2 linked regions of the Danio rerio genome follow. The protein of the gene in region 2 interacts with the protein of the main gene of each other region in a pairwise test. Links are inferred from orthologs where the notes say so. Each region holds a gene or a part of one and is shown on either strand. Other genes may lie near its edges. The genes, in order: cdkn2c and ahcyl1.

Region 1 (17,391 bases), about 8.7 Mb from region 2:
TCATGTGTAACCTAATCATCATTGGGAGATATTTTGCATGTTAGTTGGCCATGGCCTTCTTACATGTCAACTGTCAGCAGAGTTGGAAACGGTTGAGCTCGCGTGAGCTGATACTGTAGATCCCCTCTGCTGCTTCACATGATCAAGGCTTTTTATTTGATCTCTTCTTCCAGCCACTCACCCATTCACTGTCACCCCATATATTCATCAAATTTAACATCATTACATTTATAAATTCATCCCCATCTATCCATATATTCGTCCTTCTATCATCCATTAACCATCCATCCATTCCAATATTTATCTTTCTATCTAACCGAACACACCCATCTGTCCATCCATTATATATTTATTTTATTCTATCTATCCATCCATCCATTTATTCATCCTTTGATTTATCCATGCATCGATCACCCACCTATTTATCTATCCACCCTCGTTCACCATCATACATTAATTCATCAATCTTTCCATCACCCATCTATCCACCATTCCATCTATATATATCCATTCATCTGTCATCCATCCATCCATCCATCCATCCATTCATTCATCCTTCGTTTCATTCATGCATCGATCACCCACCTATTTATGTATCCATCATCATTCACCATCATACATTTATTTATCATTCTTTCCATCACCCATCTATCCACCATTCCATATATATATATATATATATATATATATATATATATATATATATATATATATATATATATATATATATATATCCATCCATCTCCCATTACATCCACATATACATGTATCCTTCTATCCATCTTTCTATCTATTTATCTGCCATCCACCCATTTCTTTATCAATCAGTACATCTATCATCCATCTCTCCATATAAATTAATCTATACATAATTTATCAATTTGTCATCCATCCATCATTCTTTTTTCTATCTATGTATCATTCATCTATCTGTCCATCTATCCATTCATATCTATCCATCAATCTATCATTCATATATCTTTTCATCTTTCATCCATCCATCTATCCATTCATGCATCCACCCATCTTTCGATTCACCTGTCATACATCATTCCATCCATATATATCTATCCATCGATCTGTCATCCATCCATCTTTATATCAATCCATTCATCTGTCATCCATCTATCTTTTCATCCATCCATCCGCCATTCCATTTATATTTACATCTATCTATCTATCTATCTATCTATCTATCTATCTATCTATCTATCTATCTATCTATCTATCTATCTATCTATCTATCTATCTATCTATCTATCTATCTATCTATCTGTCTATCTGTCTATCTATCCATCCATAATTATTCATCTATATATCATTTATCCATCTGTCATTCACCCATAATTCTTTTATCTATTCATCATCCATTCATCTGTCCATCCATCCATTTATCCATCATCCATATATCTTTCCATTTTTCATCCATCCATCCATCTATCCATTCATGCATCCATCCGTCTTTCTGTTCACCCATCATTCATTCAGGCATCTATTCATCGATCCACTCTGCTTCCCTCCATCCATTTATCATCATCCGTACATCCATCTATCATTCCATCCACATCCATCCATCCATCTGCCATCTATCCATCCTTCTATTCACTCATCTGCAATTCACCCATCCATCCATACATCATTCATCTGCCATTCACCCATCCATCCATACATCATTCATTCACCCATACATCCATCCAACCAACCAACCTATTGTTTCATCCATCAATCCGTCCTTTGATCCATCCATCGATTCATCCATCCATCCGTTATCCCACCACCCATCAACCATCATCTTTCCACCCATCAACCTTTATCTATCCACCCATCTACACATCCATCATTCATCCATCAATCCGTCCAACCATGTATTCATTCATCCATCCATCCATCCATCATCCATATATGCTTCCATCAAGCATTTCTGCCACTCATTATCCATTCATGCATCTGTATATTCATCTCTCCCTCTTACCTCTTCCTCCTATCAATACATCATCCCATCCATCCATTAATCCATTCATTCATTCTTGTCATCCATCTACCCATCCACACATATATCCATCCATGCATCTTTCTATCTCTCTCTCCATTCATCCATCAATCTGCGAACTTTGTCTGCTTGACGCCTGTGAGAATGTGGAAGGAAGCTGCTGCACTTGAACTGAGTTTTTTAGCTGTCAGTCATTGCAACCAAAAATGAACCGCACAGGCAAAATGCACAGCAGGCCCTCCCGAATGTCTGATAAAAGTGTCCTTGTCAACGGGCCAACATCTCACCACCACAGGGCTTTTGGACATATTGTATCACCCCTTCTGTGGGAAAACAGTGTTTTGAAGTGGCACTCCACCTGGCAGCTGCTCATGCGAGCTCTTGTAACACTCATAAATTACAAAGCAGCAAACTTGTTCTATTGCCCACAAAATCAGACACATTGGCTGTAACGCAATGGGTGTTTTATTCAGTCTTCTGCATTAACATTCAAACATAAACCAAGGCAAGTCGGCTGTTTTATTCCTCTTACAATTATTTGCATACACTGAATTTAAAAACTGTTGTGAAAAAGTGACAAACATGACATAAGTAAACATATATATGAGTAATCACACTGAAATAAATGCATTCTGAATCAATAGAATGACAAACAAAGGTTGATATGAGTTTAAAGATGTGGACATTTCTGTTGAGCAATTAAACAGACACTGCACAAAATCAGACACCGGCCCCGGGCAAACAGTTTGTGAAATGCAGATGAAAGGTCTGCCACATGATGGTCCCTTGTGTCTCCGTTCGGGTAAAATTGAACTGAACTTGAAGTAGCATAGCTTCAGTCAAAATTTGAAATCTTGTTTTTCTTATGTGCCCTATCATGGGCTTCAAGAGCAATATCACAATGATCAGCAAAACAGAAATAACCCTAACGTTATTTTTACAACTGTAAGGCCTCTCTTAAAATGTTCTCCAACATATAAAACAACTATCCAGCATCAATCACTATTTCCGATTTAAACAATTACCCACATAAAGAGATACTGTAGTACATATTATACTGTTATTGCATAATAATAATAATAAATAACAATAATAAAGTGTATATATATTATAATATTTATTACAAGTATAGTAAACTGATAAACTAATACATACTGTGGGTTTTACTACTCTAAATGGTGGTGTATTGTAGCATAATATACCTTATAGCTGTAGAGAGCGTGGCGTATTTGGGTTTATATTACAAAATTATTGTTATTAAAATATTTATATATTGTTGTTGCCATTGTATTTAACCACAACTGTATAATTATCACAACATATTAATTTATCGTACTATAATACCATATTTATATATTATTATTACTACTATAGTTATTACTGTACCACAGCAACTGTAGATTTACCACAACATATAAATTAATTTACCTTACTATAATACCATATTTATATATTGTTATTACCATTGTATTTAACAACAACTGTAGAATTACCACAACATATGAGTTAATTTACCTTACTATCATAACATATATATTGTTATTACCATTGTATTTAACCACAACTGTAGAATTACCACAACATATAAATTAATTTACCTTACTATAATACCATTAGGCATGGGGTGGTATAAGATTTTGACGGTATAACCTTGGATAAAAATATCATGGTATTGTGATTACTGCTCTAAAATATGTTATTTTTAAATGTCTGGGTAAAAAACAAATACTTTTTTTAAACACAATATAATTTATTTAAAAAAAACATTTAAAATATTTTGGAACAGCAAACATGTCAGGCTAAATAATTCTAATTGAAAATTGACTTCTGCTGTCTTCATTTATGTCAAAAACAGATTTTATTTTTTTACAACTTAAAATGGCATCTTTGAATATCTTTTTCTGCTGGAGATACTGTTGCCCCAAAAATATGTAAATAAAAAATCTTATACATACCTCAGCAATGGTTTTGCAAAAAATTGACGTTTTCAAACCGCTCTATACCTTGAAAACGGTTATAGTCCCTTGCCTAAATACCATATTTATATATATTGTTATTACCATTGTATTTAACCACAGCAACTAGAATTACCACAACATATACATTAATTTACTTTATTATAATACCATATTTATATATTGTTATTACCATTGTATTTAACCACAACTGTAGAATTACCACAACATATTAATTAATTTACCTTACTATGATATGGTATAATAATATTTACTTTAAAATTTGTATTTCACCTGGGTATAGACCACTAAAGGAGTTGCTCTCATTTAATAGTTAACTATCAGCTTATGGAGAGATGTTTTATGCTTATATAGATATGCTACAGTTCGTGGAAGCAATGTAGACAGGATGCAAATATTTGCAGAAAACGTATATTCTCGACATTATGATAGATATTTTTGGCTTTTAATAATTCACATACTCTTTTGTTTTTGCATGCTACATATGGATTATAAAATAGTGTTTTGACAAACCTAGGTGCATTACTTTTCATAAATATTGTTTTTGTTTGTTAGTTTACTACACATACATGCTGAACTGACCACAGACATGCCCAAACACGTTTGCAGATTCTGCACATTTAGGCGTCGATTTATTTACCTTCATTTGTTGCTGACAGTCGATATAAACCCGTCTTGAGAGCCGAATATTGACCATAAAATTTCAATAATTAGATTAAAAATATAACGCGTGATCAGGCGTCGCGCGTTTCAAAAAAGATTATCCGCAGGCGCGCAACCAGGAAGAAGATATCTGGCATGATGGCATCCTAAAAATCATAAAAACTGTATTAGAGTGGCAAAAACATCCTACAAGTGGTTTTCTTTAGCAGAAAGAGAGGAAGAGCGAGTTTTAAAAAAGAATCGTAAGTGCTTGTTGTCATCGAAAGCGCCTAAATTTGAAAATCCTGGCATTGCGCGCTGGCGTTTCCTCCCACTAAACTAACGGATCTGCTGCTTCTGCTCGACCATGAAAACTCTCAGAGAGAGTCACCATTTTATCATTCTCTATCTCATTTTATATGGTGCCATCTTAAAGATCAGCCCATATGGCGCAGACCCCTTAAATAAAAGCGCATTATTTATACATATATATCCATGATCATAATATAGCACTTACGTACGATTTCGTACTCCTGGTTTTGAAATGAATGACTGCCACACACCACATGTCAAAACATTTGTTTTATATCACAGCGAGAGAAAGCACAGCAATAACGTGCCCACATAAGACGCATATTTATATTTGGATTTCACTTTAGGCTACATGCGTTTCTATTATGTTTGGTTCGATAGCGGTCAGTAACAGTTAGATATGAGGATAGCCGAGAATATGAAAAGGATTTAATAATCGGTTGTAAAATAAATGTAAATCAAGTTCCGGAATATGCAAACTTTGCATTCATATAGTTTGGAGGAAAAAGCCCTGTTTGAAATGGACTCTAAATATAATAAACAGCGTTCCTGCATCTTAATTGTAAGTAACTTATTTTTCAAAGCTATCACTCGATGTCAAATATATGTTTGATTAAAAATATCAGGATTTTTAGAGTAGAGAATTTGAGGCCCGCTTTATATAGGCTACCTGACAAATATGTAAATGTACAAAATATCAGCAAATATTCATGTTTTGTTGCTTGTAGTGTTTTTTAGTGTTAATATAAAATGATTTTATATTAAATTAAAAATTTAAATTAAATTAAATATTGATTAAACAACATAATAACAAATCATTTAAAAATAATAGCTAATAATAATATCAATTACACATTTTGCCAAACTACATCAATTTAGCATACTTAAACATTATTAAGAAAAAAATCGTATAGGCTAATGCTTTTTTGACAATCCCAAGACAGTTTTAAACCCCACTAATATCTTTATAAACTAGGCCTATATAAAATAGATTTTATTTAAAAAATTGTTTTAAAAACTTATCATTTTTTTCTAACTTTTTAAGAAACACGGATGTACAAGAAATACAAGGTAGCCAAATTGACCCACTTTTTTAAAGGTATGAACTTATTCTCCTCATGTAAATCACCGAACAATGAGAATTAGTTTATATTAAATTAGTTTCTCTTTTCTACCTGTGTAAAAAGCTTATTATTGTTAGCTGTATCCTCTTTGTGTTTACAGAGGGAACGGCAGACTTCTCGTGTTGGTACACAAATACACACTAAAAATATACAACCGCCACCGCTAACGTCAAAGTATTTTTCTCATTTAAACATTAGACAACATAAAAACACTTACCCATAATCAAATTCAAATATTTTAATAGTCACATAAAGGTGTTTTAGGCCCACCCGAATTCCAGTGACACAAGGCCAGAGTTAAACACATACTGAAACCGTTTCAACAGTTGTCTTTGGTTATTTGGCAAGATTTTAATATTTTCAAAAGCGATAAAAAGACAATCCTTCACAGTTAAACAACAGTTAAAAAGGCATTAATTACAAGCAAAAGTGCAAGTTGACTGTGACAAAACTAAACACAGCAAAACTCATGGCAGGGTGCTGATTTTATATAGTGCAATTACTTTGTTTTTGACAATCTCAATTAATCTACATTTAATTTTTTGTGTTTGTTATGAAACAGCACCCATAGAACAAACATGAGCTCGAAAGTTAGAGAAACGTATGCTATATACAAATCTAAAATGGAGGTGACCTGAAAAATATCCCGTTGACAAAAAAAAAAGTTAAGAGCCATAAGTCATCGGAAATGTTAATTATTCTTCACCCACAAAAACAAACAAACAAACAAACAAACAAGCCCCTGAGCCCAATATTTTACACTGCAATAAGAGGTAGTTGGCTGAATATTCTGCAATTGCAATAAAGCGCTAATTCAGCATTGATCCGCTACCTCTGCTACACGCAGGCCCACAGTCACAATCTCTGGCTGGATTGTAAAGACGCAATGCTCTCCAACCACTCCACAGTTCTGTGTTTTTGGTGCATAAACGCCAGGTCACGAGGTGTGTACCCTTTTGCGTTAGCCAGAAAAGGCTGCGTCACGCAATGCGTTACGAGAAACTGCACGACATCCAAGTGTCCTTCGCGCGCCGCCAGATGCAGAGGCAGGTTGCCGTCGTTGTCTAGGAGATTGACATCAGCACCGTTCTGCGCGAGCACGTGCAGGGTGTCCAGATATCCGTCACGCGCTGCATCGTGGATGACGGTCAGTCCTAGTATGGGGTCGCGCACGTTTGGGTCTGCGCCAGCTTGTAAAAGGGTCTCCGCGATGCTCGGGCAGCCAAGTTTCATCACCTGAGATGCAACACAAAGAGAACACGTTTTAGGGTCTTTAAATATTAATCAGCTTACAATTAAAAATTATTCATTTGACTTATATTTTTTATTAAGGTAAGTGCACTGTAAAAAAAATCCTGGTTGCCTTAATTTATAAGCTGAATCAAATTAACCCGAACTTGTATTATGTTAAACTTAAAACTTATAAATTATAAAATTAAGTTAGAACATGATTAACTTAGTCTAATAAGTTAACATGACCTAAAACATGTGCTGTCAGGACTAATTGATCGTATAGTTTTTTTTACAATGTGGTTGCAAACAACTTATATGGTCTGAATTTAAACAAACATTACATTAAACATTGGTATTTTTTATTAAGCCCATACAATTAGTTTGCAACCACTTACCTTTAAAATATAGTTAGGGTTAGGGTAAATTCAATGAATATTTTTTTTTCAGTGTAATGCACACTTAATTTTTTGTTGAATGTATACATTTGTGTACATGTGTACGTTGAATGTATTTGTGTTGCCTGTTTTTCCTGTGATTTGTGTAATGTGAACGCTGATGTGGTTGTGTGGTGAAGCCAAAGATAGATTTCCACTTATGGACAAAAAAGAAAGTAATTTTTTTATTTACAAGCTTTACGTGTATTATTAATAAAAAACATTATTTAGAATGAAAATATATACATGCATTAAGGAAAGTGTTTAACAAGTTTTTCAGCATTCTGCTTATACATATCTTTATGACAGTTCTGAGAAAGAATGTGCAGCTCTCAAAAGAGATTTTACTTTTGTTTTCTTGTAAGTTGATGGATTGTAAAAAGGGAAATTGCTTGTTTGAGAGAATAAGTACGACTTGAAGGCTGTGAAATAAAAGTGTGTATGGCAAACTATATCAGAAATCGAGCACAAATCGATCTCTTCAATTTTAACTGATCTCTAAAGATAAAAAAGTATCACTATGAATTGATTTTATGGAAATACTACCAGGAAGTTTACTACATCACATAAGTATTTTAAAAAGGCTATAAGGCTCCATTTTAAATGACTTTAAATTTCTGTTTTTAGATAATTTTTATGCATTATTTTTGATTATCTCATATTTAGAAACCAAATAGAAGGTGTGTATTTATTTATAAATATATTTGTCTATCAAAATGACCTACTAAATTTAAAAAAAGCTGATAAAATAATCAAAACCTTACAGGTAGTGACCAGTCACATTACATAAAACTCAAAATTTTCCTTATTCGTTCATATTTTTTATTCTAAGATCGTAATGTTGATAACACAACGTTTGCGAATATTTGATGTGACCTCCACTTATAAATTTGTCACATACGCATAAGCAGAAATTGCTATATGCTACAACATCGAGTATGGGGATTACCCAGTGTTCGGATAAGCTCTCGTTCTGAATCTTAAAAATATATATTGTGAGATTTTAACACAAGCACATGAGTAATCTCACAATATTTCAACTTGACCGAAATTTAGCAGCAATACTGTGTCAGGTGTAACATTCGGAGATACAAAATATTATATTTTAAACTAAAATAACATTTTTAAAACTTAAAAACAGGCTTTTGGGATTCGATTTTATTTTGTTCCTCTAGAGGGTTATATGTCATATAAAAGGAAATAACAAACATAAGCATCTACAATCATTTCGGGCCTTATAAAACTGGAACTGCATGATCATTAAAATACATGCAAAGTTTTCTGTTACATCTACAATCTGAAATAATTATAAAAAGCTGCCAAACATGTCAGGTTTCGTGTAGCTCGTGAGCTGATCTATACGGTGATAAAACACTTTTCGGTTTCAACAATAAATAGGCTATTGGAGAACAAGTGACGCACATTTGTTGGCATATAAAAATAGAAATAATTTGTAACAGGTGCGTAGTTGGTTCTCAGGTAAACCTTTTGATTTTTTCAAAAAGCCACCGGTTTGGTCAGAAGTAAATCAACCAGGCCACTGCTATAGTGACTGGAAGAAGGAAAAGAACAAGCTGTTTTCCTGAAGCTGATGCACTATGAATTATAAACATCGTGTTTTTTTATATGAAGGTTGTAGGTGGAGATGTGCGTCTAACCTGCAGTGCTGTCCTGCCATATTTATTCTTCTCGTTAACGTTCACGTTGCTTTGAAGTGTCTGCTCAACTTCCATCAGATCCCCAATCGCAGCTGCAGTGCTCAGCCTGTCTAAAGCAGTGTCCTCGGCCATTATATCCTGACAAAGGAAAGTAGAATATCTCTGATTTTGTTAATAAAAATGTCCGCTGGTGGAGATATGGAAAAAGCACTACAAAGCAGTAGTAAATAGTCCGATCCTCCAGCCCCCCTAAAAAATATCCGTTGGAGATGCGCCAAGGTCCACCCACATTAGGCTAACATCGTCCTACTGAAGCCATCGGAACCAGTGGAGAAAACAGAGATGCGGAGCCATCTCTAATCAAAATAAGAACGATCAAGAACAATTAAACAAAAGAAACATCCTCTTTTCTGCGATCGACGCCCGTGCCCAAAAATGGCATGAATGTACTGTGGTCTTAGTCCAGATACTCGATCTCTCGCATTCAAACAGATTTGCAGTAGTCACATGAAAATGATCGGATCCGAGAGGCAAACTTCCCTTTCATATGTCCTCTGATAATATGCAGGTGCAATGGGCTGAAGAGCTGCGATGCGTTCGTGGTATTCGCAGATGTAGTCATTCCGAGCTTCTTCCACGACCTCTGAAACAGAGAAAGGAGCCTGTTACTTCGCTGAGAAAAAATATATTAAGCATCCAATCAATTTGCAACGACGTGTTGTGAGTTTTTTTGAGAGCTTCCCGCCAATTTTGAACATGAAACGTCAAGAGTCTTCATTGATGTGCACATCAAAGACCGCTGGCACCACGAAAGGCTTCGTACTGATACTAGTCCGGTGTAGCGAACTGGCACGCGTGCAAAACATTACTAACAGTGTTTCGGTATTCGCATTTCAAAACTCTAGGCTTGAATATCTACAAATGTTCCGCCGTAGTGATTCATTAGAGGTGCTTTACACTTCTGTGGAGGTTCAGCCGCTGGTCGAATCATTTGAAATGAAACATTGTATCCAGTACCTGCAGAATGGTTACATCGCTGGCTTCGGTTTATCCTCTTCTGATGGCTCTCGGGAGTTCAATACGCTGTTTATAAGACAGCTGAGTTTGTCAGAGAGTCTGCTGCTGTTTGACATCACTCCTTTTTGAAATAAAGGACCGACACTTCCGCCCATATAGAGGCGGAGCCGCTGGGACTCAACGGTAATGCTGCTGGGACTCAGGGAGAGGCTGATCCTCCTGACCGAAAGAGAGATGCACTTTCTGCTTTCAGTTTTGAATACGCATTCGCCTTTCCCGTGTAATAAAGCCTTTACGACGTTGGTGTTACCAATATAAGTTTCTTCTTTTGAAGTTGAATTAATTCAAGCTCCTCATGTGAAGAAAACACTGTAACAGCACAATGGGTTATATAGTCCTCCGCGTAGTTTGCCTATATTTACATTATGGCGTGTTTATCCATTCACCACACACTATTAAACTTATTATTAAATACATGATTTTAAAATCAGCTGAAGCTATAGAGTTTTTCTGGTGTTTTAGTTTTCTCTCTCATTTTTGAAACAACCACAGCAGATTATGATTTATCTGTTGCTATTTTTAATGCAAGGCTGTTAAATTCACAGTTTATTTATGTTCAATTACCCCAAAAGCTTTAGTAATTTAAATTGTAGTCGATGTTTCTGGCATAGGATTGTCTAGCTGACCTCCTGAAAGCAGTTTGGCTGGAAACGATGGCCTGATGTACTAAATCCCTTCAAGCCCCTCTAAAAACCAGGCAGGACTGCTTATAACTAAGCTGGTGTATGGACCATTTTGAGAGATGTAAACGAAACAATGGTCCCAATATATTTTAATTTCTATAGCCACATATTGATAGATAATTTTGTGATAGATGTTTTAACATGTAGTCATGATTGAATTGCCTCTTGTTACAGTTATGAAATAGTTTGATAACAAGCAGGAAATGTTCATGGGTCACACTGAAATGGTTATTATGCATTTATTTTTGTTGTATTATTTGTAGACAAGGTTGTTGATATCTTGTTGTTTTTCTTTTGTATGTTTACAATAAAATAACGTTTAGGTAATTTAATTGCATTGAACTTTAGGATGCCTTTGCTTAAGATGCTCTGACACATTTAAAACGGCCCCAAACCAATCTAAACCAGCAATGGTGTGATTGAGAACACCAGCAAGCACACATTTATATCCCTGGCATAGATTACACCAATGAAAACTGTTCGTTCATCAGAATGTACATACAAATTTAGTCTAAACAAGTGATTTATTAAGAGTTTGGTCTTGCCTATCTTCTTGTTTACAAAATAAAAAAAGTTATTTTAGGTGGTTGCACAGTGTAAACAGAACTTGTTACAGCTAAAACAACAATTCGGATGACTATGTAACACGGAAAAACATATATCTTAAAAGCTTTCTATTTTAAAATGGCTTATGCTAGCCAAACCAATCACTTGCAAATATCAGCCCATTCAAACTCAACGGCGGCCCTACGCAGTCCTTTTCCAACGATGTTTGTGTGGCGCCACCTCCGCGACAGTTTGCAGCACTTCTTTACGGCAGCCGTAAGATGAATTTGAACGCGATCTAGAACAGCAAAGTGACGATAACAGAAAACCTGAAAGCCGACAAACACTGACAACACGGCCCCGAAGAGCAGCATTCGCACTTAGTTATTTACCGCACGCTGACCTGCCGTGTCCCGAGCTGCTTTTTTGAAATTGATGGTTGATATTGTGGGGCTTTTTACATGATTCGTTAGCCTCTCTCTGCAATGGCCTCCGACAGCAACATGGACAGAGAAATGATCCTGGCCGACTTTCAGGTGGGTTTTCTCACATCAATACCCATGACCTCTGATTTCTCAAGCTCTGGATGTGTAGATGTGAGTCGTTTTTATGTGGTTGCTGAGTGTTAACCGGACAACGGCTTTTGAAGTCACTCCTTTTTGTTGACATGTCTCGAGATGATCAGCTGTCAGTGGCTTTGTTTGAGTTTTTCAGCAAACACGAAGTCTGGGCAGCACATGATTAAGCAAAATAACAGCAAACCGCGTGAAATATATCATTTTTATGTGGTCAGCTTATTCAGATATGGAAAAAATAAAATACTGTCATCTGTAGCCTGATCTGGCGTTGACCATGTAATGGCCAGAGGCTGTCAGATGACTCTGCACGGTTTTCTGTTTGTACACTGCCATTACCTGTCACATGGATGGTTTTCAGTTGGTTTGGGTCAAGACCTGACAGTTTAGTTGTAACTTCCTGACATATTGTGTGTTTAAAGTTAAATTGTTATTTTATTATAGAAGCAGATATAGCTCTAGAGTAAAGAAATAGTTAAGGAGGTGTAGACCCAAGTCTATTGCTGCCTTTGTATACTGTATGCTTTTATGATAAATTCATCCATCCATCCATCCATCCATCCATCCATCCATCCATCCATCCATCCATCCGTCTACCCATCAGTCCATCTACCTATCCATCTATCTGTCCATCTATCTCTGTATGTAGTATGGTTATGCCTGCTAATTTAACAAAAAATATTTTATTATCATTTTCTGAGATGTATGTAAGTCCAGTTATTTAAATTAGAATTCTAATATTTTATAGAAGCAGAAATAGCTCTAAAATAAATATTTAAGGAGGAATTGACCAAAATCTACTATATGTATGCTTTTCTCATAAACTTCCATCCATCCATTCTTACTTCCATTAACAAAATATTTTTCATGTTCAGTTACCCCAAAATCTTGTAGTGTAATGTACAATCATAAACATTCTATCTATCTATCTATCTATCTATATCTATCTATCTATCTATCTATCTATCTATCTATCTATCTATCTATCTATCTATCTATCTATCCATCCATCCATCCATCCATCCATCCATCCATCCATCCATCCATCCATCCATCCATCCATCCATCCATCCATCCATCCATCCATCCATCCATCCATCCATCCATCCATCCATCCATCCATCCATCCATCCATCCACCCACCCATCGTTATACCTGCAGTATTAATTAAATAATATTTAATCAACATCAATCTCTGAAATGTATCTAAGTCCTGTTATTATATAATTTCATTATCAGTTATTATTAATAAGCCAGTATTCTAAAGATGTTTTTTATTACTCATCATTTTAGGCATGTACCGGAATTGACAACATTGCTGAGGCGATCACACTTCTAGAACTAAACAACTGGGACTTGGTGGTAAGACACTATTTGTTGGTAAAATCTGTAAGACTGACTCCTAGGTAAAAGAATTTCAAGCCATCCAACCTTTTAACATGCTTGTTTTGTTTCCTGCTTATTGTTTGTTTGTGGATTGTGTTGATGAATCGGAGACAAAGCCAGTGTGTTTAGTGCAAACACTATTTAATGGGACCATTGTTCACAGAACATTCTGGCGCAGTGCTGTGGATGTATTAGCAGCATTCCTATATATAAGCTAGCACATTACTGAATTTACTCATCAATGAAACATTACTAGTCATGTTTGTAATTCAATACCTTATTAATATTTTGCCTGTACGCTTAGCAGAAATCAAGAATTTGTTGTTAGATACAGATCTGGCACTTTATTCTGTGGCTAGTTGTATTAATAATAGCATTTTTATGGAATTCAATTTAATATTATGTCATGAATCAAGCAAAATTACAACAGAATTAAACTATCAATAACCGCAGGATAGCAGGATTGACATTTAAATAACAATGTTTATGCTTTATGATAAATATCCAACCCCAAATAAAAATAGCTGTCATTACTTATTATAAAAGTTTACCTAAGATTTTACTACAACTATTAGAGCACTCTCTTTAGACCTATTTATATATTTTGAATTTTCGAACTGATGTCAGAACAAATATTCTTTTATTTACTGTTCTGCAATATTAATAATATTATAAGTCATATATCAATTCAGTTTTTTCTGTATTTGTAAAACATAGAAACATATCATTTTAAACCTTCCACAGTGGAAACAGTAGGGTCAAACTGCATCTTATCTCTGCAATTTGAAGCACATTTTGCAACATTCTTTATAGCAGTTGTTTTCAATACTGGTCCTGGGGACCAACTGCTCTGCACATTTTGCATGTCTTTGTTATCTGATACACTGTTCAGTTTATGGAGCTCTCTGCACATGAGCCAATGATCTGAATCAGGTGTGTTAAATAGGGGTGACATACAAAATGTGCAGAGCATTGGGTCACCATGACCAGGGTTGAAAACCACTGCTTTATAGTGTTATTTTAACACAAGGCTGACATTTAAGCGCATAGCTAACACATACCTCATAATTTTTTTTGTGGTCAGTGCTGACATTAATATTTAGTTACATTCAATCATGGTTTTCATTAAAAACTTTAAATTTTGAATAATTGCAAATAATCCTATTTTTAAGTGGCATTTGGATAAAAAAAAACATCTCTTTCTGTCATTTTGCATCCTTAAACCTTTTAAAATATGTTTTTTGTGTGTGTTTGTTTTCTTAAATGGAAAAAGTAGTCAATTTAGGATTTTTTAATTTTATGCAAATAATTTATGGTTTCAAGGCATAATTCACCTAAAATATTCTCTTCATTTAATTGCATTCAACTGCATTTTTTAAAAATTATTTTTATTGAACATTTTTGATTTTGAACAAAGCCCAAGATCCATCAAATGAAAAGTAAAATCAAATAAAAATAGTAATACTGCAACAATAGGTACAAAATCAGGATTGAAACATATCTGATACAGTCTCTGTCATATTTAACCAATATTTTAGTTTTCTTACTGGCACCATTTATTTTTTCTGTGGTGTATTCCAAATTTATAATAATAATAATAATAATAATAATAATAATTCCTTACATTTATATAGCACTTTTCTAGACACTCAGGGCGTACTCGCACTACTATGTACAGTTGCCTTGAACCATGTTAAAGCATGCTTGTCCCTTGTCCTCATCCACCACAGTGTGCAGCAAGCACCTGGATGATGCGAAGGCAGCTATATTGAACCAGACCGTACACCAATTGGTGGAGAGGTGACCAAGTGATGAAGCCAATTATGATATGGGGATGTTAGGAGGCCATGATGGACAGAGGCCAGTGTGCACAGAGAGTCAGGACCTCAGTTTAAAGTCTCATCCAAAAACGTCGCTCACTGAGCAGTATAGAGTCCCCATCACTATACTGGGGCGTTAGGACTCACACAGACTGTAGGTTGAGCACCCCCTGTTAGCCTTGCTAACACCACTTCCAGCAGCAACCTAGCTTTCAGTGTGTTCTCGCATCCAGGTACTGACCAGGCTCAGTCCTGCTTCGCTTCAGTGGGCAACCATCTGAGAATTGCAGAGAGCTAGCTACCAGCAAATAATGTCCAGTATATGGAGCCTCCAGGATAGATCCGCAAGAGCAGATAGATCCAGCCATATTTTCACATTGTTTCCATATTTTCAGATTGTTTTCATATTTTCAGGATTGTTTTCATGTTTTCAGCATTGATCATTCTTTGGTTGATTGATAAGGAGAATTAAATTTTTAAACTTTATTAGATTTTTTCTATCAAATTTTTTATTTATAACTTTTTTTTTTTAAAATAAATGTATGGTTAATTAATGGATCTCATAATTAAATGGCAAATTTTAAGTCTAGATCTAAACATATTTATTTTATTTTTTAATATAAGATTTCTTATTCATGAACTGCTTCTCTCTTGGTGAACAAATAGTGTTTTCTTTGTTGCTCCTAACAGGCAGAGCTTATGTATCTAGGTGTCTGTTTCAATCGATAATGTTGTTTGAACAGACAGTAATGTCTGCTACAGTCTAGTCTGCAGATACTTACATATTTTTATAGCCTTTCATCTTATCTATTGCAAACAGATCATTTAGACAGATCAAATCGGTCCTGAAAAATCCTTGTTCCAGGAACCCTTCTCTCTCTTTGAAATACAGTGTTCTTTTTTAATTGAAGCCATCTCAGTCATAATACAAGGCAAGCATGATGATTTATCGTCTTTTATATCACCTTTCATTCGCTGCCACAGACATGATTTCACCTAAAAAAAAATACGCAGATGTGACATCTGTCACACCACAGACAAAAGCAGGCTGGAGAGCTATGATTTTATTGGGTGAAACGTAACAGGCGTGTCTTCTGGCAGTTTCCATTGTGCTAATTTGCATGAGCAACCTACACTCGCACTAAAAGTGTGGCCTTCAGTCCATCCCATATGCAACAGAGGTACAAAGAATGCAGTGTCAAGACGGATCTAAAGTGACAGTACTCAAACAAACATCAAGAAACTGCGGTTTTACAGACAGATTTTCCTCCACAAAGTCGCTCTTTATCTTTAAAGTGGGGCTGTTTTACTATATTTAGCAGGGAGCTGGTTGTATGCTGGCAGCAATTCAAAGAAAGCAGGCTCAAGCGTACGCCGTGGTTAAGTGCACCTGTGAATGTGATGACTTGCTGTTACTGCGCAGGGTTGAAAAAATTAAGACGGGACAGCCAGCGAGTGTTTGAACACCCCACATGCTGAAGCCAGGATGTGTGCCGTACTCTTGATCACATAAACACCGCGCTACACCTGAGCAAATCTTACACGAGCAGTCAAAGATCTGCTGCTTGTATATTTCTCTGACCATCAACGGTTAGATCTGTGAAAATATCTGATGTTCTGTCTCTACACAGACAAAATATCATGTCTACGGCCTCTTCAGGCATGGAAAAAATCTGGGAGCATAGCAAGCGTTGCGATGTACGTCCTTGTATACACTCTGTTATTTGGCTCAATCAGAAGTCATTCCATTCAGATCTGTATCCACCGAGTAAGGCTTCTTATCACAGTCTGGCTCCAGAAGCCACTTGCTCACACACGCACAGACACAAACACATCAAGCCATCACTGTGCATTCCAATTCAGTCTGAAGGGGAAAATATGCGGTCCCCATTGCTGGATACTTGTGGTTTGGGTTTTCTACCTGAATATCTGATT
Region 2 (16,766 bases):
CCGTCCACCTCCAAAAAAGCAATCTGTTTAAACTACACGACTGAAGCAATTTAAAAGAAAGTTGTGCTTTTATCATTTCATTGCAAAAAATCAATGAATGCATCCATAATCCTACTAAAATGCTCCTCTGTGCTTTTACAGCGGCCTCGTACACTGACAGCTCAGATGATGAGACGTCTCCTCGTGAGAAGAGCCAGGTCAACTCAAAGGGCAGCAGCGACTTCTGTGTCAAGAACATCAAGCAGGCCGAGTTTGGCCGGCGGGAGATCGAGATCGCAGAACAAGGTCAGAAGACAATTTACACAAAAACAGCTTTCAACTTTGGCAAATTTATAAATGAATGTCAGTGGTTCTGTGAAGCACCGTTAATTCAGGACATCTGTTATACCTGTTAACTCAAATATAGGTGTGTTTAAGTGCTGTCAAGTGAACAAGGTTTGATAACATCTGCTGATGTTGGGAAAAGCCATTGTCCACCGTTGACTTTGTCTTTTTTTATAATAACTGGGTCAGCATCTAATGGCAGCAGTGCAGTCCATAGATATTGATGGGATTAATCTGTTAATCGCCCTCTAGGGGTTTCAAATCTATATAATTGTTTTACTGTTAGAAACTGTTAGAGACTGTTAGAAACGCAACACAGGCTCATTGTCGATATGTACCCCTGTCTACATTACTGGAGAGTGTAAATTATGTAGCCAGAGGTATGTCTGGCTGCCTTTTGTCTTTTAAATGAGTGCTACAGGGTGGTATGACACTGCCCACGGCTCCTATTCATTTTAGCGCTACTAGCTGACCGCTTATATCCAGACGGGCGGCGTTTCCTATGTTTTCCCAGTGGCTCTCCACATACATTGGCAGACTTGGGATGTGGAGCAGAGGTGATCACGAAGATGGGGTTCGAGTCCATAGAAGAACGGTTTTAGAAACCAAGTAAAACAAAAGCAAAAAATAAATAAAAACATAAATAAACAAGAGGATGAAAACGTGGTGAAATCACTCATCGGCTTTTCATTTTCTAGAATACTTTTGAAAACACAATCAGTTGTGTTTGGGGAAGGGGGCAGGTGATTCATTCATGGACAGCAAGCTGGTCAGCTGAAGTGTTTATTGCACACTCTGGCGGATTTACATGAAAAGAGGATGCGCTAGAGAAGTTTGTGATCATCAATAAACATACACAGCAGCCTCTGGTGAATTTGCTAAAATAAAAAACTGTGAGCAGAAGTACCTCCAGTTACGTATTTTGCTGTCTCCAGAAATGTAGAACTGGGTACGTATACACCTGAGTTGTAGAAACCGATTGACATCTGTTGTGGGAAATAAATATTTAATATTTTGTATAATAACATGAACTCCGGTTTGGAACAAGTGGAAGCAGAGTAAATGATGACTAAAAAAATGGGTGAATAATTTTCACCAGGGTAAGGAAATGATGACTCATTTCTCTCTATTTCTGATTGTCTGATAAATATTCTGTTACACAATATTTTTAGAGAAGCACACGCTAGAGTGGTTCCAGGCCAGTCTTCACTGCATTACTGTTTCATACAGTGAATGATTTCAGCCTACAACTGTCAAATATTAAATCAAACAAAACAGTAGACTTTGGATGAGATGAGTAAGCAGCTAATCCTACGCACACAAACTGTTTGAGGACAAAAACCTGACAAATTTCTTGAAATACAACATCTGAACTGTGACTTTAGGTGTGGTAACCGTAGTATAAGCAGATTAATTGCTACGAGTTCATGGAATTATTACAGAAGAATACTGTACATTACTCTCAGAACACTGTAAAAAATATCTCTGTAAATTAGCAGTTTTGTGTATTTGAATTGCATTATGGAGTCTTGATCTTTCTTCCAACAACTTTTAACCTTTAAAAGTTTGAAAAGGTGACTTTCATCAACATTTTTAATAGTTGAAAGTGATATTTTGTCTGGGTTGGTGTTGAATATTAAGGTACAAAAACCGTAAAATAAACTGCCAGTTCATTTCCTGTTTTTTACAGATCTATTTCTCTCTCTCTATATATATAATCTCTTATTTCAAACTACTAAAATGCTAATAAAAGTCACTTTGTTAAACTGTAGAGTTGAATTTTCAACATCAAAAGTCGACAGAGCAGTGATCAAGGTCCCATAAAGCAGTGATCAAGGTCCCAGTTGCTCCAGGTTTGGTTTCTGTGCCACCTTTGCTGTGTAAAGATGCCTTAATAATTCAATCAATTAGTCCTTACTTCACACTACTACTTTAAATTTAGAGAATGAATCAGAAAAATGCAGAAAAAAATGTCAAAATGTAACATTTACACAGAGGAATGAAAAGTTCAACTGAGCTGAACAGAATAATAACCATTTTAACCAGTTTTAACCATTCCTTATTCCAGGCATATTCAGATTTTTAGTCCTCATTTTCCAGGGCTTGGTTTGACCTCTGATTCTCTAGATTGTAGCTGTGTTAATAAAGCTGATCTCAGGCCAGCTGGTCTGACCTCAGAACTGTTGTCCACAGATATGTCTGCGCTGATTTCCCTGCGGAAGAGAGCTCAGGGAGAGAAACCCCTCGCCGGGGCCAAAGTGGCCGGATGCACACACATCACTGCTCAGACTGCTGTAGGTTCTGCTCAGGGTCACACGATTCAAACACACACTTCTTCCGGAAAGAGATTTTGACAAAACATTTACATTTTTGGTCAGAGTGGAACATTTTTGGCGACATGAGTTTAAATCTAGGCTTTGGGAACTTTCCTGATCCTTTTCACCAGCTTCTTTATTTTGCTTTCTATCTATTATATACAGTCATATTTAGTAAACAAGAAAATAACAGAGTGAAATATATTCATTTACCACAGTACACAAGTGATTGTTTTAATGTTTTTAGTACAAGCAGGAGGAAACTATAAATAAAATAACTTTTTATTTATTTAAACAATGGATTAGTAAACGAATTTTCGTTTCATTTCTATTAAATAAAACTACACTAACAGTTTGTTTAGGGAAAGATAAATCTGTGTCGGCCAATACTATAAACTACAGTAGTCAAAATTTGAAGTGGATCCTCACCAGCACCCATTCATGTCCTAGGACAATTTTGAAAAATGTTTTGGATTCACTTCGAATGATGACTACTATATAGTGTCCATTCACTAAAAGTAAAACTAAAAGTAAATGTTTATGAAATAAGTAAACAACAAATGTTTTTCGATTGACATTACCTAAAAGTAAAATGAATAAAATAAAGAATCAACAAACAACTAAAATAAAACAGGGTAGAATTTATTAATAAAATTACTAAAACTTAACATGGAGCATATTTTTAAAAATGCCGAAAAAAATTGCAGATGAAGTCGCAAAGGGAAAAAAAATCACACATACAGTAAAGTGCTCAGCATATGAGTATACCCCATTTTGAAAATGAATATTTTCATCCATTTTTTAGTGTATTTTTGGTGCATTTAACCAAAACAGATTTATTAAACAGATATATTTATTAAAATAATCTTTTAGTAAACATATCCAAACATTTAGAAATTGAAAGATAATGCAATTAAATTCAAGCTAAATATTGCACAAAAAAATGACAACCTACAAAATTTCAACTAAATTTTTCAATTTTTTTGCTTTTCTTGATTTTAATATTTAGTATTTTTCTCAAACATATAAATTTGGTTGTGCTAGTTTTTGGACCGTAATTGTAAGTTATTTTGTTAGATAAGCTCCAGATTTGGCTTCGGTACTGACTAATCTAATGTATATGCACAAATATAATATTGTATAGCTTCCTAATTAAAAATATGAATTTAAAAGAGCGATTTGTGAGGGGTGTACTTATATATGCTGAGCACTTTAAGTCAGACTGGTTTGTAATTAGTTTGGTCTTAGCAAATTTATTTAAAGAAAAACTCAAAAAGCTTTAATGTTAAAAATGTTATTTATTATTCTAATTAATGCACACTTTGCAAATGATTTGCTTGCAGTTTCATTAAACATACAATCGTATAATCAAATCAAAACCAAAGTGCTTACAATGTAAATTTGCACACATTGTTGTTTGTGAGTGTTTTAATGTGTTTGATTTGCTATGCTGGTTTCTTTCAGGTGCTGATCGAGACTCTAGTGGCCCTGGGTGCTCAGTGTCGCTGGACTGCCTGTAACATTTACTCCACCCAGAATGAAGTGGCAGCAGCTTTGGCGGAGAGTGGTAAACTCCCTCTAAACAAATAATACTGCTGTCTGAACTAACAGTTCCAGTCTGGAGATTATGGACTCACTTTTTTTTTGCTGTCTTTCCTGTGAAGGTGTGTCAGTTTTTGCCTGGAAGGGAGAATCGGAAGACGACTTCTGGTGGTGCATCGACCGCTGTGTCAACATGGATGGCTGGCAGGCAAACATGGTATAAAGTTCTGCCCTTTATAGGATAGTTCAGCCTAAATTCAAATTCACCCACCATTTACTGATCCTCAAGTGGTTCCAAACCTTCTTGTGTTTGTTTTATTTCTGATATTTGAAGAATGTCCTTGCCTTTGATATCCCTATAGTTGAAAAAAATAGTAAACACTTGTAATAAGAAGTAGAATGCTGACAAAAGAGTGTGGATCCAAACGCAGGTTTATTAAGAATAGTCAGGCAAGCAATGGTCGTGGTCGATAAACAGGCAGATGGTCAGTACAGGCAGGCAGCAGACAACATAAACAAAAAAACGAGGATCAAGGCAAGGCGTCGTAATGTTCACAATACTGATTAACAAGACTCAGCAACTAATGTGTGTGTCTGTGCTGCTTTTAAAGTCCATGTCATCAGTTCTGAACACCTTCGGTTGTGTGTGTTAGCAATCAGCTAGAATTTGGAACCGGTGCGTGTGTGTGTGTGTAGAGCATGACTGGGCCTTGTAGTCCATATAATGGCAGATTTGTAGTTATATGCGCTCTGTGTGTTTACCAGTGATCTGCCAGGATTAGATCACTGGTGATTGTGACAATACTGTTAAAATAAAAGGCTGATGCTATCCTCAATTAGTTCCAAACCTTCTTTGTGTGTGTTGTTTTGTTGTTGTTGACCGCTAAAGAAGATATTTTGAAGAATGTTATAGCCATTGATATCTACAGTAGAAAAAAAAAAAAATATGATTAAAATCAATTGCTGATGCTTTCCAACATTTTTCAAAGTATCTTCTTTTGTGTTTAACAGATGAAATAAACTCAAACAGATTTTGAACAAGTGGAGGGTGAGGAAGTGATGGCAGAAAAGCACAAACAATCAATGTTGTTGGCAGTTATTTTAGTAACTTCACTTATCATTTAGCCTTTTTGCGAATAACATTTCACTATTTGTAATATGATGTGTAGCCAAAATGCTAATGTTGTTGCTGTTTATGCTGCTTGTTATCATATCCACCACTATTTACACTATTTAACACAATGATTCTATTACTGTTTATAAACCGCTGTCAAATCAGTATTTACTGTTCAAAACTTTTAGCATGGTGTTTGTGTTTGCAGATGAGTAATAAAGATACTTTCTTTTACAGATTCTAGATGACGGAGGGGATTTGACCCACTGGGTGTATAAGAAATATCCCAGTGTCTTTAAAAAAGTTCGTGGAATCGTGGAGGAGAGTGTTACTGGTGTACACAGGTACGGGAGGGCTGTACTAAAGTCATAGTAAATGCATAAAGAAAATGCATAAACAGGAGCAAATGCTATTTCTTGAATGCATTTTAAGTCATTTTGGGCAAAAGCTTTTATCAAATGCATAAACAATTCAAGAAAATACATAAAATTAACCAAAAAAAACCTATATCGAAATTTTATTTAAAGTCACTTTGGATAAAGGAATATGCGAAATATATAAATATTCAATTAGATATATTTAATTTATTTTTTATTTAATTTTATTTTATTTCATTCTAGACTTAGTCCCTTATTTATTAGGAATTGCCACAGCAGAATTAACCCCCACACTATTTCAGCATATGTTTTACACATTTTATTTTGTTTTTAAACAATAATTTCATTTATTTATTTTAATTTAATTATAATTAAATTTAATTAAAATTTTAATTTTAATTTTCATTCATTCTTTCATTTTCCTTCATTTCCTTTAAGGTTTAGTCAGTTATTTTTCAGGAGTTGCCACAGTAGAATAAACCACCAACTATTCTGGCATATTAATAATTCATTCAATCATCCATTCATCCATTCATCCATTCGTTCGTTCATTCATTCATTCATTCATTCATTCATTCATTCATTCATTCATTCATTCATTTATTCAGTAATTTTCTTTTCGGCTCAGTCCTTTTAATAATCTGGGGTCATCTTATCCAGGATATGTTTTCGCTGTGGATGCCCTTTCAGCTGCAACCCATCACTCGAAAACACCCATACACTCTCATTCACTCACACACACTGCGGCCAATTTTAGTTTACCAAATTCACCCACAGAACATGGTTTTTGGACTTGTAAGGGAAACCGGAGCACCCGGAGGAAACCCACACGAACACAGGGAGAACATGCAAACTCCAAACAGAAATGCCAACTGACTTTTACAAACATTCATGTTTTATTTATTTATTTGTCTCTTTTTATTGATTCTGTCAGGCTGTATCAACTCTCCAAAGCTGGCAAGCTTTGCGTCCCTGCCATGAATGTCAATGATTCTGTCACCAAGCAGAAGTTTGATAATCTGTACTGCTGCAGGGAGTCCATCCTCGACGGGTAAAGACATCTGCAATGCTGATATATGCTTTTCTGACTTTTCTTTCAACACATCTTCCTCTAAACCTCTAACCAAGTTTGACTAAAACTTGTGTAAGAAAAAATATCATCTTAGCTGTCTTCCTCTTTCTCCTCAGTCTGAAGAGAACCACAGATGTGATGTTTGGTGGGAAACAGGTGGTGGTTTGCGGTTATGGAGAGGTCAGTACAAACATTTGGCAAAAATAAAATAGGGCGGTCGGATAATCTACATTATGCAAATAAAATGCAAGACACTGCAGGTGAAATGGGCAAAATCAAAAAAATTCCATAAATTAACCAATTTTATTTCTGTTGCAATCACCAGCGATCTAATCCTGGAAGATCCCTGGTAAACATACAGATCACATAGAACTACATATTCGTCATTATATGGACTACAAGATCCTGTCATGCACTGCACACACACCCCAGTTCCTAATTCTGGCTGATTTGTAGTCTGTTAGCGATCTGCACAGGTTGGATCGCTGGTGATTGTGTCAACTTCTGTACTTCCCCAGCTGATTCATTACATTTTTATAACAAGTTTTATTAAGTTTAAGTGCTTAAATGTGCACTTGTTATATAACAATGGTTTATTTAAATAAATGTGTCCATATATGCATACATTTCTAGCTTAAATTTTTAACATTAAATGATGTCCAGTTCAAAACTCAGGTTTAATGTTTTTGACAAATGAGAGTCTAAGGTTATAGGATTTTAGTAATCTTTCTCTATCAATCCTTTCACTCATGTCTTTGTCGAATGAAAGGTTATAACAATCAGATTTTAAAAAATGCAAAAAATATTTTAGTCCATGCTAGTTAATGGTACAACTGTCAGTAACTAATGGATTTTTATCTTGTAGAATAAAATGTTCTAATAATCAGGTAGTTTATGTATAAACATATCCATCTGTAAAAACATTTGGAGTACTGGATACAGATGATTACAATTGTGAAGTTTGTTGTGTGTACTGCAAATTGCGCTGAAGTTGAGATTGATGGCTCAGTGGAGGAGAATAAAATAATTCTGAGAAAAAGTCTTTACGGAAATATATTGTAATTGACATCCACAGACACATTTTTAAGTGTGATAAAAAAAATTTTAATCACATATTTTGAGTGTTTTCTTTAAATTAGACAAAAAAAAAACCTGTAGTGTCTGTACTGTAGCTGTAATTTCTCAAAACAGACAGACATTATTTTCTAAAAGCACAGAGAATGGAATGACGTTTCTGTGTTTGGCTGTGTTTCTGTGTTGACCGTGGTATAGGTGGGGAAAGGTTGTTGTTCAGCTCTGAAAGCACTTGGAGCAATAGTGTGTGTGACGGAGATCGATCCGATCTGTGCTCTTCAAGCCTGGTAAGACCAATAGACCCTCAAGAATGAGTGAAATCTACATTTAAACACAAGTGCGGTGTTATTGAAATTAGTAGTCATGCGATATTTTTTTTTCTGAAGGTCAATATTGGAAAGCAGGGTGGCTGATATTTAGCCAATATAATTTATTTTAATTAATAATTAAATACAAAAGGTACACAATTTTAAATAATTAAAAAATGCAGATGGCAAGCTCAATAGTGTCATTTGCCTTTATTACTAATTAATGCAATCATAATTATGTGTACACATTTTAAATACTTTGTTTAAACAGTTAATCTAATCTAATAATCTATAGCCTATTATTTTCTCTTTGTATTCGAAACAACTCCAAGTCAATTCAATTCAATTCTAGTTTATTTGTATGGTGCTTTTCAGAATAATTATTGTTTCAAAGCAGCTTTACAAAAGGTGCACATTATTCCATTACAATCTAATTCGGTAAAGTTAAGGTTATTAGTTACTAGTTATTAGTTAGTTGCAAATATGTTCTTGTTTTATACAACAGTTTAACAAACAAGACAGTAATACTGCATGAGTTACATTTCAGACACAGTCTCAAACAAATCTGAAGCGAACATTTGTGTCTCACAGCAACATTGCAAGGGTTTGTTCCTAAATGAAATTAGGAATGAATAATTTGAGTCAGTGATTCAGTGATAAAGGTGATAATTATTAGTTAATATACTTTATTCAGTTTACCCTGTAACACATAACAATTTTGTATCAAATAACTTGTGTAAACTGGTCTCTCTTAGTATCTACCACAAATAATATCAGCATATCAGCAAACCAAATAGGAACTCAAAATCTTCTTTGCACAGCAATATCTAAACACATCTGCTAATTTTTATTTGTTTTTTTATTTCCTTTATAGTATGGACGGCTTTAGAGTGGTGAAGCTGAATGAAGTGGTTCGTCAAATGGACATGGTCATCACCTGCACGGGTACGTCTGCTTGCTGTTGGCTAGCTTCCACTTTCACATCCATTTCCTCTATTAAATGCAGCTCTTATCAGCACAAACGATTCCTCCCTGAGCTGCTGTCAAACGGTTGGGCCTTTGACAGCTACGACTGATCTCTTAAGTGGTCTGGGGAAAAATCATGTTTGCCAAGTTGTGAGTCTCTGCTAGTCATAAAGAGAGAACTGAACTCCTGCTTCTTTAATTGGTTGAAGGGTAAAACAGCATTTTGGTAACATTAAGTGAGTTAACATGATTGACAAACAGGACTTCTTCTCTATTTTTTATTATATTATACTATAATAAACCATTTATTAATTGTTATTGTCACTGTCAGCATTTAACAATACATTATTCAAATAAAAAATGCTATGTTCATTTATTTTTAACATAAACAAAAAATGTACAGTTATTTATTCATTCATTAATTTTCTTTTCGGCTTAGTCCCTTTATTTATCTGGGGCCACCACAGCGGAATGAACCGCCAACTTATTCAGCACATTTTTACGCAGCGGATGCCCTTCCAGCCGCAACCCATCACTGGGAAAATTAATAGTTATATTTGTATTAATTAATGGATTAATATATAATTTAAAGCTTTATTAATTCCTTTGGGGCAATTTATTCGGACATAGTGGTGCCTCACATAACAAGATTGACACCTTTAACACAATAAACACCAACACTTAACATCAAGTACACAAACAAAAACTGAAAAAAAAAAAAAAAATATATATATATATATATATATATAAATAATAATTTATAATAAAAAAGAAGGATACAAGGATATTTTGAATATCTTAAAAAATATTTTAAATTCTATAAGTTAATCATTATATAATAAGCCACAAGTCAAAATATTATCATAATTATCATACATTTAAACAAATAAATAATAAATAAAGTAAAAAAAAAAACATCAAATAATCATTGCTCATAATAAGTGGACTTTGGTAACATTTGAACTCTTCTCAGGGTGTCTGTGGGGTCTTAAAATGTCCTAAATCTTAGCAACTAAATTTTAGGCCTTAAAAAGTCTTAAATCTACTGAAATGTTGTGTTGTAGGTCTTAACAGGTCTTAATTTTCTTTTGTTCATTTATGTTTGTTCACCAACAATCAATCTCAATAAAACTTTTTTTTATTTATCATTTTATTTGTTACTTTTATTTTTTAATTATTTTCCTCACCATAAAATTTGCTTAAAAGTTATCCCTATATTTACAGCTGAGGATACTGACCTGGCCTTTATTTTTATTTTTAAATTGTAATTTTTATTATTAATGTATGATTTAATGTATAAAATTAAAATAATTTTTTTGATAGGGCAAGTGAAAATCTTTTCCAACTGGCTTATTCGAAAAAAAAATTCCTTAGCATTTAGCCCTGTAAAAGTGAAAAAACTCAATCATAATGGTCTTTAAAATGTCTTTAAAAGCCTTACAACCTGCTGAAACTCTTTTCACACCAGTGTTTTTTTTTTTTTAAAGTTGCCATCCACTGTCAACATTTTTGATGATTTGTTTCTAAATTTGACAAATATTTTCTACTATGAATATGTTCATATTATATATATATATAAACATAAAGAACCGAGCCTGTTTTAACTTTGTAAATGTGCGTGTGTGTGTGTGTGTGTGTGTGTGTGTAAAACAAAAACAAGACAAGTACTGGACATTCTAAACACTGTAAAAAAATGATGCAAAATTTGCAATAACACTGGCAATTTGGTTGCCAGTAATATTGTAAAAGTAACTAAATAAGTAATGTGTATTTATATAGTGCATTTATTGTGTATGGCCATACACCCAAAGCGCAATACAATCATGGGTGGAGGGTCTCTACCACACTACTAGTGTGCAGCCTCCACTTGGATGATGCGACGGCAGCCACAGGACATTGACGCTAGTGCAATCCCCACTTACCAGCCATAGGTGGAATGGAGAGACAGTGATAGAGCCAATTTGGTGGATGGGGATGATTGGGAGGCCAGTAAGAGCCAATGCAAGGAACTTGGCCAGGACACCAGGGTTACACTCTTTACGAAAAATGCCATGGGATTTTTAATGATCACAGAGCCTTGGTTAACATCTCATCCGAAAGACGGCACCCACTGACAGTAAATTGCCCCCTTTACTTTCCTGGGGCATTAGGACACATACAGACCGCAGGTTGAGCGCCCCCTGCTGGCCTCACTAACACAACTTCCAACAACAACTTAGCTTTTCCATGTGGTCTCCCATCCAGGTACTGACCAAGCTCAGCCCTGCATAGCTTCAGTGAGTAACCAGTCTTGGGCTGCAGAGTGATATGCCTGTACAATTTACAAGTATACTGTAAATTACCAAAACAATTGTGCTGCAGCTTTACAGCACAATTTTAATGATTAATTTACAGTGTGCTTGAAAATATTAGTTTCACTGGCAATTTTTACAGTATTACTGGCATAAATCACAAGCGCACTGTAAATAATCAATCAGAACCGGGCTGTAGTTTTACATCACAATTGTAATAGTTTATTTACAGTGCACTTGTACATTTCACAGTATTACTTGCATTCAAAATTGCCAGTACTTGTAAATTTTACAGCAATTTTTTTTACAGTGTAGGTCTTGCCTTACCATAGTACACCTAGAATACAGATGCTGTCTGTCAATTGACAAGATAACTTTCAAATATAAACGTTCACAGTTTCGCGGGTGAGATGTGTTCCATACATCCACAGAATGACAATTTAGGGGATCCACTAAGATAAAATCAGTATTATTACTCACAGATAATGTATATCAAGGTTATATGAAGAATTGTTTGTTTCTACAGGGAACAAAAATGTGGTGACGAGGGAGCACTTGGACAGAATGAAGAATGGCTGTATCGTGTGTAACATGGGCCATTCCAACACTGAGATCGATGTGGTGAGCATTTCTCAGCTCTGTAAAAACATAGTTTGGTTTATTCATAATGAGGCTCCATTTGCTGTGGCTGTAGCGGGCAAATACTATACCAATGTGAATGTTGCCGTCAACAGCTGTAGGTCCTCTCTGAGCAGCAGGGTCACTTAATCAACCCAAAATCCTCTTAGCTGCATGTTTGCCACAACAGAGTGAACTGAATGAGTGTGTGTGTGTTGGGTATAGTGGTGCGAGTTTTAAGTGTGTGTATTTATGTATGTTTCAGGCAAGTCTGCGGACTCCAGAGCTCACCTGGGAGAGAGTCCGCTCACAGGTTGATCACGTCATCTGGCCTGATGGGAAACGAGTCATTTTACTGGCAGAGGTCTGTACTTGTTGTCTTTTTTCATAAATAAGTGCCAGTCGGAAAGGTTGTTTTATGTTGTGTTGGAAAAATGAGAACTCAATCCAGGATACTCATTACAAGCAGAATTATCTATTGAGACGTGTTGGTTGTTCTGCAGTCAAACACCATCTTCAAGAAATAAATGAGCCTAACAAAAGTCTGAAACAAGTCTAGATGAGTCTGACATGGACAGAGTTGTTCTGTCTGTTATATTGTTTAGAGGATGGGGCAGTAGCTAAAGGTGGAGATGGCTAACACAGCATGCAAATGAAGTAGATACCGTTTCAATCAGAATTAATAAACTGTAACATTTTATTTTCTTTTTTAAATATTTCCCAAATAATGTTTAAAAGATTCAGAAAATTTTCACAATTTGTCTGATAATATTTTTTCTTCTGGAAAAAGTCTTATTTGTTTTATTTCAGCTAGAATAAAAGCAGTTTTTATTTTTTTTTAAAATATATTTTTTAAAATTACCCTAACCTGCCTAGTTAACCTAGTTAAGCCTTTAAATGTCACTTTAAGCTGTATAGAAGTGTCTTGAAAAATATCTAGTCAAATCTTATTTACTTACATCATGACAAAGATAAAAGAAATCAGTTATTAGAAATGAGTTATTAAAACTATTATGGTTAAAAATGTGTTGAAAAAATCTTCTCTCTGTTAAACTGAAATTGGGGGAAAAATGGGGGGAAATAATTCAGGGAGTTTAATAATTCTGACTGCAACTGTAGGTGAAAGAACCTGCCGAGACACTGACCACACAAGTTTATCAACGAAAGAGCTTCTTTCACCTGAATGGATCCACAAAGACAAAAGTCATAGTCATTGAGACCCAGCCCATAGCTTTTGCAGCACTTTGGTCAGCCAGTGCTCTGGAAGCAAAGGGTTTAATGGCACTTACACCATGTCTGCTAGAGTTTTGAATGAAATTAGATAATAAAAAAACCAAAGAATTTAACTTTTCAGTTATTTATACATCACTGTTAATTTGAAACTAGATTATATAAATAGCTATTTCCACAGTTGCATACAGTAGCAGTCAGAAGTTTAGAAACATTTACTTCCCACAAAACAATTTTTTCTGACCATTTAGTGCTAGGGTTGTCCAAACTCAGTCCTGAAGGGCCGGTGTCCTGCAAAGTTTAGTTCCAACTCCAATTCACCTGGGCTAGCTAATCAAGCTCTAACTAGGCTTTCTAGAAACTTTCATGCAGCTGTGTTGAGGCAAGTTTGAACTAAAATCTGCAGGACACCAGCCCTCCATTACCGAGTTTGGATACCCCTGATTTAGTTACTCTCGGGTGTTCTAACCCTTTAGGAATATCTTTTATGAATATATTTTTATGAACGTGGAAAATCTGTAACAACCATTGACAAACATACCAGGAAAAAATATACTACGCATGTCAATGGCTTCTCGTCCTCAGCATTTTTCAAGATGTCTTCTTTTTTGTTCAATAGAAGAAACTCAAACGGGTGACTATTTGATTCATGACTGAAGTTCTGAAATTTCTAAATTCTGAAAACCCTGTCTTGTCACCACAGAAATATATTTTATTTTTAAAAAGTATTTGAAATTTTATTTTTAATTAATTTTATAAATAATTTGAGATAATAATATTTTTCTTGATGCTTTTTCAACTTAAGTTTTGGCTTTAAACATTTTTTTCTGATAAATATTTATTTGTACAAACTGCTGTTTTTAGTCATCTTCAGATATCATGTTTTTGCTGTTCATTAAAGACTACAATTGCAAAAACATGATTTATATACACACACACACACACATATATATATATATATATATATATATATATATATATATATATACAGTATATATATATATATATATATATATATATATATATATATATATATATATATATATATATATATATATATATATATACATACAACATTATTCAAAAACATTATTAGTCTGTCATTTTAGTCTATCATTTTCACAATTTCTGGATTATTAAAAATCTGACTTTCCACACAGGTATTTGCCATCAAATCTTTTTTTTAATTTATTTATTTATTTTTTCACTAATTTCATATTTTCTATGAAAAATGCTTGTCACAACGTATGATATGTACTATGCCATATACCATGACATATATTTTGGTCCACAGAATTTTCCCAAAGCCCCAGTTTTCTCTACTCAATCTGTGAATGTGCCCACCATGATAAATTTCTTTCCTCTATATGTGATTTTCTGCTGGATCACAGTCAATCTCAGTCATTTGTGTTGTGTTTTTCAGGGCCGACTCCTGAACCTGAGCTGCTCAACAGTCCCCTCATTTGTGCTATCAATCACAGCCACAACCCAGGTAATTTAACCTGCCGCCGCTTTGGGTTTTAGCTGCGTCTGTACCGCTGACATTTTATCCATTTATGCCAGAGCTCCTAAGTGCTCCTGCACAGCTGTATGACTATTACGGCTGATTTAACATCTCTAATCGCAGGCTGTTGTGCTCTTTTTTTGTATTAATCTTAGGCTTTGGCCCTGATAGAGCTGTATAATGCACCAGAAGGTCGCTATAAACAGGACGTCTACTTGCTGCCCAAGAAAATGGGTAAGATTATCTGAATTTGTCTCCACCAACAGCTTCAGTACTTTGTGCATTAACTGTGATAAATTGTGTGTTCTTCAGATGAATATGTGGCCAGCTTGCACCTACCCAACTTTGATGCTCATCTTACAGAGCTGTCTGATGAACAGGCCAAATATATGGGCCTCAATAAGAATGGACCCTTTAAACCGAATTACTACAGGTACAACCCCCCCCCCCATATTTCTGTTTAACGGAGAAGGTTAACTGGGCTTGTTAGGGTAATTACGCAAGTTGTTGTATAATAATAGCTTGTTCTGTAGTCTATCAAAAAATGTAGCTGAAGGGGCTAATAATTTTAAACCTACATTTTTTTTAAGTAAAAACTGCTTTTATTCTAGCCTCAATAAAACAAATCGAAAAAAAAAAACTAAAAAAATTATCAGACATACTGTAAAAATGTCCTTGCTCTGTTAAACATTATTTGGGAAATATTTAAAAAAATAAAAAAAAATAAAAAAGGGGCTAATAATTCTGACTTCAACTGTAGTTTTACTACAGTTTAAGCTTTTTTTCTTTTTGTTTAATACAAAAACAGTACAAAGGAAATACACTGGCATAAACATAGTAGCTCCAGCATTAAATCAGAAAACAAAAATAAATGAATTAAAGTGAATAAACAACAAACAAATGGGAGTATTTGTTAATTAAAGCAATCATAATGTTCAAATATAATTATCAGAGTACGATCAGTTGTTTCAAAAAATCATTGGCATAGCACTAATCAGTTCTGAGGAAATTCACAAAAGGTTGCCATACAGTTTGAAATTGGTGTTGAGATTTTGGTTCCGAGGAGTGTATCCTCTCAAGCCAAATGACTTGATACAATTCAACCATCCACTCTTTTTAAAACATGTAGGGTTAGAAGTTTTTCAGTTTAAAAGTTTTTTCACAAGAGTTAGGCCTATCAAAAGGAGATGTTGCTAGGACTTTGGAAAAGTGTCTATTGTCTCAGAATATCCAAGAATTGCAAGACAATGGTCTGGCTTAACCTTCTTTTGAAAAACTTTGGGAAAAAAAAAAATCTAAAATATATTTCCAGAAGGCGAGGCAGTGGCGCAGTAGGTAGTGCTGTCACCTCACTGTAAGAAGGTCGCTGGTTTGAACCTCGGCTAAGTTGGCATTTCTGTGTGGAGTTTGCATGTTCTCCCTGCCTTCTCCGGGTGCTCCGGTTTCCCTCACAGTCCAAAGACATGTGGTACAGGTGAATTGGGTAAGCTAAATTGTCCGTAGCGTATGTGTATGAGTGTGTGTGTGGATGTTTCCCCAACATGGGTTGCGGCTGGAAGGGCATCCGCTGCGTAAAAACTTGCTGGATAAGTTGGCGGTTCATTCCGCTGCGGCGACCCCAGATTAATAAAGGGACTAAGCCGACAAGAAAATGAATGAATGAATATTTCCAGAAATTAAAGAGTTTATTGGTCAATATGTGTTAATATGTGGGATAAACAACCAACTTCTATTTTACATACATAATTGTTTTAATAACTAATTTCTTTTGTCTTTGCCATGACGATGTGACATTATTTTACTATTTATTTTTATTAGTATTCAGCCTAAAGTGCCATTTAAAGGCTTAACTGGGTTAATTAGGGTAATTAGGCAAGTCATTAAAGAACAGTGGTTTGTTCTTTACCTAGTTGAAAAAAATATTTCTTAAATTAGCTAATAATATTGACCTTAAGAATTGTTTTTAACAAAATTAAAAAGTGCTTTTATTCTAGCCAAACTAAAATTAAATAAGAAATAAGACTTTCTCCA

Evidence for each region.
Region 1: the proteins of ahcyl1 (region 2) and cdkn2c interact in binary tests that used the Homo sapiens proteins (3 or more experiments, as listed by UniProt). The two-hybrid records come from large-scale screens. The link is inferred for Danio rerio from reciprocal best matches to the Homo sapiens genes AHCYL1 and CDKN2C.

Annotation. Positions count from the first base shown.
Region 1 is NC_133183.1:18,180,795-18,198,185, reverse strand, and holds cdkn2c (cyclin-dependent kinase 4 inhibitor C), read right to left. Parts: upstream 10,514-17,391; 5' UTR 10,387-10,513; intron 10,013-10,386; 5' UTR 9,502-10,012; coding exon 9,370-9,501; intron 7,281-9,369; coding exon 6,900-7,280; 3' UTR 6,268-6,899; downstream 1-6,267. Other genes in the region: faf1 (FAS-associated factor 1), read left to right, coding at 12,161-12,211, 13,544-13,612. UniProt on the Homo sapiens protein: Interacts strongly with CDK6, weakly with CDK4. Inhibits cell growth and proliferation with a correlated dependence on endogenous retinoblastoma protein RB.
Region 2 is NC_133183.1:26,871,107-26,887,872, reverse strand, and holds part of ahcyl1 (S-adenosylhomocysteine hydrolase-like protein 1), read left to right. Parts: intron 1-141; coding exon 142-285; intron 286-2,517; coding exon 2,518-2,618; intron 2,619-4,103; coding exon 4,104-4,206; intron 4,207-4,303; coding exon 4,304-4,398; intron 4,399-5,532; coding exon 5,533-5,639; intron 5,640-6,606; coding exon 6,607-6,723; intron 6,724-6,860; coding exon 6,861-6,924; intron 6,925-8,016; coding exon 8,017-8,105; intron 8,106-9,000; coding exon 9,001-9,071; intron 9,072-11,909; coding exon 11,910-12,004; intron 12,005-12,266; coding exon 12,267-12,365; intron 12,366-14,654; coding exon 14,655-14,723; intron 14,724-14,890; coding exon 14,891-14,969; intron 14,970-15,047; coding exon 15,048-15,168; intron 15,169-16,766. UniProt on the Homo sapiens protein: Multifaceted cellular regulator which coordinates several essential cellular functions including regulation of epithelial HCO3(-) and fluid secretion, mRNA processing and DNA replication.